Linked DNA regions of Saccharomyces cerevisiae S288C. The gene in region 2 interacts genetically with the main gene of each other region. Each region holds a gene or a part of one and is shown on either strand. Other genes may lie near its edges. The genes, in order: IAI11 and NPP2.

Region 1 (3,200 bases), on a different chromosome or scaffold from region 2:
AAACCTCTTCCAGTAAACCTATTGGCACCCATTTCATGGTCTTCGTCATCACGGAATCCGTTTTCAGCGCCCATTTGACCACCCCTTCTCGCTTTTTCCAGCAAATCCTTCAGTAATGAATTAGGATCTGAAGGATCTGTAACCTCTAAGCCGGATGTTTCACCACCAGCAAAAGTATTTCTCGGTTGATCTTCATCGTCATCATCAGCTTGACCTCTTACCATATCCGAAAAGCTCATAAACCTGGAGTTGTTACCACTTCCAGAGCGGCTACTACCCTTGGTTGGTTCAGGAGAGGTAGAACCTTTCCTTTTCAAGTACTCGTTGCTACCTTGTGAGGATCCTGGTTTTGGACATAACCCACCAACGTGCTCCGTATTTATGGCTTTATTCGAAGAGTTGGTGGAGAAGGCTTCTTGCTTGAGGGCCTTCTCCTGCTGTCTGTTCCAATGTGCTTCCTCTCTTCTATCCTTTTGGTCATCCGTTTGAGAAGCATAATAGGAATTTAGTGCTTCATTTAAATCTCCAAATTCAGAGAGATATTGAACGGCTATGTTATGCGACACATTGGTCAATGCCATGAACTGCTGGATGGTTTCATCAGGTATTTCCGCCATACCTAAATAATGAGTTAATTGTTGTGCTACCGACGTTTCTTATATATTTAAATCGAAATATGTTAAGCATACAACTATTAAACCCCTTCCGTTCTTTATTGCCATCGATTTTCGCCACCAATAAGAGTTCTAATGCGGGTAACACATATAAGTAGTGGAATATATTATTGAAACTACTACTATGGTATAACACTATTTACAAAGAGATGAATTGTGTGTCTTAACTAAGCTGTCCACTACTTGCTGGCTTCTTTTATCCAGAGGCATGTTTGTCACTACAAATTCGTTGTTGGCACGCCTTTCCAGACGTTGCTTTAGTTCCTGAAATGATGAAACATCCCAGCTCCAACATGTCCCTGTGATGCCCATACCAAATATACCTAGTGTCATGCCCGTTGCCGCTAAAAGAGAACCTGCAAGACTCTTTTGTGTGTGTGTTATTGTCTGCGTCCGGCTGGCGTAGTTTGCTTGAAAAGTGTTCAATGGCACTATGTAAATAAGTTATGTTAGTAAACGTGTTCTTTGAGTATGAGGCCGAAGTTATTGCCTATGCATACCTTTTGCAGTTATCATTTTCTTCATGGCAATTCTACATGTTATAAGTGTAAAAATAGTGATTCCGAAGAATCGTGTCATCTGAGTTTTCCTCCTCTTTTTATAGTCGTCTATAAAATGTGTGACTTCCTCACTACTGATTTTGGGCTTGTCGTTTCTGCTCACTAACATTATTGTTGGCCAGTCCTTTATTTCGAATTTTCTTCTTGTGTTTACATTATGTTTCAATTCGCATATTACATTAATAGAGAAAGACCTATTAAAAAATCGCTGCGCGTCCAATAACATTCACTGATTTACAAGTGCAGTTGAACAAAAGCAAGATAAGACAAGTACTACAACATGCATCCACAGTTAGAAGCTGAACGTTTTCATTGTAAGTATCCAGATTTTACTTCATATATTTGCCTTTTTCTGTGCTCCGACTTACTAACATTGTATTCTCCCCTTCTTCATTTTAGCCTGTTTGGACTTCATCAATGCACTCGATAAATGCCATCAAAAGGAATATTACAAGAGAATATTTGGCCTTTGTAACAACGAAAAGGATGCTTTGAACAAGTGTCTCAAGGAGGCAAGTTTGAATAACAAGAAACGTGCTGTCATTGAAAGTAGAATAAAGAGAGCTGATGTAGAAAAGAGATGGAAGAAAATTGAGGAAGAAGAATATGGCGAGGACGCTATATTAAAGACTATCTTAGATAGACAGTACGCCAAGAAAAAGCAGGAAAGTGACAATGATGCGAACTCGAAATAAAAGCTTTTTTTCTGTCGCTACTTCATTCACACAAATCATCTCAATATCCCTTGTAAATAAAAGGCAGAGTACAGTTTTCAAGTTTATATTTCTTCAGCGCAGTCTTTATATTTATATCTTTAAATATACTTAGAACTGAACAGAACCCATGGCTTTTTGCAAAGCTTTCAAGTAGCTCAGTCGTTTCTTATATTGATTATTCATATACAAATATCTCGAATTCCAATTATTCATGACTGCTTCAAAATAGTTATCGTCAAAGCTCCAAATTTCGACCAGCTTATCCTTTATTTCGTTATGTTTATCTATCCATATACCAAGCTGTCTGGTGAAGTTCATCAATTCCTTTAGCCTTTCTTTTAGTTCGACCATCTCTACATCTTTCGCATCTTCGTATAGTAGCTCTAGCCCCAATAGTGGCTTCCATTCACTTACAACAATATTTTTAAGATTGAGGGAAGCGTGCTCTGTCAAGATCTTGTCACTCCATCCATATTCTGCGTTAGATACGGCTTCGAATTGTGTTAAAGGAACTGGAGAAATCCTACCTGCCCAGAAGTTGATACAGTCCATAAACTTGTGGGCTTCTTCAACACTTCTCGTCTGGAACTCCAGAACAAGCTTTGGTCCGTTGATATTCTCTGGAAAACTAACGGTAAAGTTGCCACTTTTCCTCTTGGTGTTTTTGTTACACACATTTGATTTCATTGCTCCACTACCTATAATTATATTATCTTGCACGACATGTGCTTCAGCTTCAAGCAGTGAGTAAGCAAAATAAGAGCTACTGATATCTTTGAAATAGTCGATGGTAGCACTGTCTGTTTCACTTGATTGGATGATATCCTTAACATCTGGTTTAATTTTGAAAATAAAAATTCTGCCCTCCTTGACCTGTATTTTCACCCTCTCCCATTCAGAATCCTTATTCAAATACGATAAAGAAGTCCTTCTAGATGTGTGCTCAATAAGTGTAGTCGTTTTAGATGGTTTTAGCCATCCGAAGAACGATTTGTTTCTCTTAGAGGTCATTTTTGGTGCCGCCACTTGATCTTTGTCTCTTTTAGAATATTTACGTGGTAAAGATTTCTTGCTTATAAGAATTAAATCGTCCATGAACCAACTGGAGCCGTTTTCGGTAATTAAACCGTCATCAAAAGACTCTTTAAGGTAGAGTGCATCCATGGGGTGATTATTGTGAAAGTTTTTATTTGATTTTGCGCTCATTTCTCGTACAGATACTTGACCATCTCTTGAATATAGTGTAGTAG
Region 2 (3,878 bases):
GGATCTGGAAACGGGTCTGGGTCTGGATCCTGTGACACCGCCACAAATGATTCCGATCTGGAGAAAGCGTACATCAAGGAGGATGATGATGAGAAACCGCAATCAGGCGATGAAACAAGCGCGACAAAGCCGCTTTCCAGCAGGAATGCAAATTCAAACGCCAAAACGAACTTCAATTTGTTGGATTTTAGCACAGATAACGACTCGTCCACCTCTGCGTTTACTAAGTTCAAGTTTAACTTTCAGGAATACCTCTCCGATATTAGATACCAAACGCAGAAATTGAATGAAAATGTTCAGGACTATCTTTCCACTATTTCCGCCGTCGATACGATTTTTTCCTTGTTGGAATTCTCTTTTCTGGTGAGAAACATATTAGCCGCCGGGCAGCCAACTTCTTCTTCTTCGCTCGCATCGTCGCTGGAAGCCGCCGTTGCCGCCCATAATAAATATCAATACACGCTCGATTTCTGTTTACCAATACTCACGTGGCTGCTCTTCTTTAGGGGTATTCCAACGTTAGTGTCATACTACATCAACTTCATCCGCTACGACCTGAACATCGAGTTGGACCCGATGACTTTCAATCTCACGAAATTCTTGATTTCTTTGGCAATCTTCAAAACTTGTAATAATAAAAACATAGATTTCCATTCTTTTCGATGTGTTAACCAACTATGGACACAACTCTGTACAGTGAACCGTTCCCTTGGTATGGTACCTCTAGTATTCTCCATGGTTAGTTGTCTCCTCACTCTATACGTATTATAGTATATTTTCTTACATACGTATACACACGCGTACGTAAGCCGCGAAGTGTGTATTTACTACTCTGTATTATTGTAATAAACTCTTCTCCTTCTTTGTCTTTTCTTCTCCCAAAAGCGCACTTGCCTTGATCAGCATATTGTATACTTCGATGTTTTCAAATGGAGGTACGACTTCATTGTTGAACATCGGACCCATTCCAATGAATATAGATGCCATATCACTACAGTTGTTAAAGTTGTATCCATGTGTGCCCATAATGCCGATAGGCACATCACCCATTTCTTTTACAATGGCGTAGTATTCATCTGCGAGAATCCAGATATCGCCGACCCTATCGTCATATCTGTGCTTTCTGTTATCGTATTGGAAATATTTCCAGCTCGGGTCGAAATCTTCTTTCAGGATCACGTGAAACTTCCTCGATATTTCATCTCCATATGCTTTCTCTAACTGAGCTTCAATCAAGTCACAAATCCATTGCTTGTCTCGAGGGTTTTTCAAACATACCATCATCATGGGGCCCTCGTTATAAAGATGCGAAATAAATGCGCTCATTGCGTCGGCCGGGAACACCCTTTCCCACACAACAACATGCTCACCGTCATTCGCGTTGACATTGCTCATGCCATGGTCACTAACAATCATAACATTGCTAATTTTCAACAAGTTTCTTTTTTGCAGGCCTTCAATCAAATCGAGAAAGAATCCATCGACTTCACCGATCAGCTTTTGTAGCCGCTTATCTCGTAAATCGTATCCAAAACTGTGTCCGTACGAATCAACATTGGGTATATAACTTATGACCAATTCTGGCCTATCTTTAAGCTGAGGCATATCTATGTATCGGAAAATTTGAGCTAATTTATCTTGAAGTTTTTCCCATTGATTGAATTTCCCAAAATAAAATGGCATTCTTTCCCTAGGTACATCCCCGTGGTCCTCATACACAACCTCACTTCCAGGCCACATATGCGTGGCCACTTTATATTCGCCTTGCGATTCAGTTTGCAGTAGTTGCCAAATAGGGTCAGCCGTGTTGCTCCAAATTCTTGCGTCGAGGTTATTTGGTCTAAATTCGCTACTCGTGAAATTATCCCAGAATATATTGGAAACAATACCGTGCTCAATGGGATATTTTCCCGTTACCATGCTCCAGTGGTTGGGAAATGTCTGAGTGGGAAAACTTGGGATCATATACGGTGCAGTCGTGATATTCATATCGTACGGGGACCGCAAATTGTGCAAGTTGTAAAGAAATGGCGTGTATTTTGCATCTATCAATCTCGGATGGAACCCATCGATAGATATCAATATCGTTAACGTCTTGAAATCATGTGTGCCGTTGAAGTAAGTATTTGATCTATTCGCAATTGTCCGGGGCCCATTATCAATAGGTTTTGGGCACTTCGAATATAAAAGCAACTCAATGAGTATTATACCGCAAAGCAAAAGTTTCAATAAAAAATGTCGTGATATTGCGAAAGGTTTTATGTTCGTATCATCTTCATTATTTTTTTCAAGGTCAACAGGTTGCTCGAAAAGAAGCATATCGTAAGCACACTTCGAAATGGCCTTCTTTGTTATTTCGAAACTGTTTTGTGGCCTGCGTGTTTAATGAACCCTGGTATCAAGCGTCACAGTCATATAAAGCCTTAAATTATCTTCCATCAACGCACAGTAAACCGTCTAATTGATAGAAAAACTCTCAACCCAGTTATCGAGTGTCGCTACACTCTATTGTAATTAGCTGCAATCATCTTGTTTATTAATTATGTCATTTTATTACCCTGGATTTGAAGCCCGTCTCTTTTTCCGCTTGTTTTTTTTTTTTCAATCGCTGAGAAATAGAAAGAAAACATAGTTAGCTCGAATAGTTTAGTCAAAAGGCCTACTATTGACTGCTTTTTCTGCAAATCCATGCTCTCAAGACAATACAGTAATTCGTAAAAGAAACCATAATGTCACAATTTGTTGGTTTCGGAGTACAAGTGGAGCTAAAAGATGGGAAGCTCATTCAGGGGAAAATTGCCAAAGCAACCTCAAAAGGATTGACTTTAAATGACGTTCAATTCGGCGATGGTGGTAAATCTCAAGCTTTCAAAGTGAGGGCGTCAAGGCTAAAGGACTTAAAGGTTCTAACTGTTGCCTCTCAATCCGGGAAAAGGAAGCAGCAAAGACAACAGCAGCAACAAAACGATTATAATCAAAATCGCGGTGAACATATTGATTGGCAAGATGATGATGTTAGTAAGATAAAACAACAGGAAGATTTCGATTTCCAAAGAAATTTGGGCATGTTTAACAAAAAAGACGTCTTCGCACAATTAAAGCAAAATGACGATATATTACCGGAGAATAGATTACAGGGACATAACAGAAAGCAAACCCAATTGCAGCAAAATAATTATCAAAATGATGAATTGGTTATTCCAGATGCAAAGAAAGATTCATGGAACAAGATTTCTTCAAGAAATGAGCAAAGCACACACCAATCTCAGCCGCAACAAGATGCTCAAGATGATCTGGTTTTGGAAGATGATGAACATGAATACGATGTCGATGATATCGATGATCCCAAATACCTACCAATAACTCAGTCTTTGAATATTACACATTTAATTCACTCTGCAACTAACTCTCCATCCATAAATGATAAAACGAAAGGTACAGTTATAAATGATAAGGATCAGGTACTAGCTAAATTAGGCCAGATGATCATCAGCCAGTCAAGATCCAACTCAACATCCTTGCCAGCTGCAAATAAACAAACAACCATCAGATCAAAGAACACTAAGCAGAACATTCCTATGGCTACACCAGTACAACTACTAGAAATGGAGAGCATCACGTCCGAATTTTTCAGTATTAACTCGGCAGGGCTACTAGAAAATTTTGCTGTAAACGCATCGTTCTTCTTAAAGCAGAAACTAGGTGGCCGTGCACGTTTACGTTTACAAAATTCTAATCCGGAACCTTTAGTAGTAATACTAGCCTCAGATTCCAACAGATCTGGTGCGAAAGCTCTGGCGTTGGGTAGACATCTTTGCCAAACGGGGCATATCCGTGTCATAACATTATTTACATGTTCTCAAAATGAACTACAGGAT

Evidence for each region.
Region 1: mutations in NPP2 (region 2) and IAI11 together harm fitness more than expected from each alone (negative genetic interaction), as found in Saccharomyces cerevisiae (one large-scale study listed by BioGRID).

Annotation. Positions count from the first base shown.
Region 1 is NC_001134.8:108,854-112,053, reverse strand, and holds IAI11 (Iai11p), read right to left. Parts: upstream 1,461-3,200; coding exon 1,175-1,460; intron 1,106-1,174; coding exon 810-1,105; downstream 1-809. Other genes in the region: protein phosphatase regulator SHP1, read right to left, coding at 1-617; CMC2 (Cmc2p), read left to right, coding at 1,515-1,548, 1,634-1,929; Arf family guanine nucleotide exchange factor YEL1, read right to left, coding at 2,059-3,200.
Region 2 is NC_001137.3:123,900-127,777, forward strand, and holds NPP2 (nucleotide diphosphatase/phosphodiesterase NPP2), read right to left. Parts: upstream 2,320-3,878; coding exon 838-2,319; downstream 1-837. Other genes in the region: GTT3 (Gtt3p), read left to right, coding at 1-771; EDC3 (Edc3p), read left to right, coding at 2,730-3,878. UniProt on the Saccharomyces cerevisiae protein: Mediates extracellular nucleotide derived phosphate hydrolysis along with NPP1 and PHO5.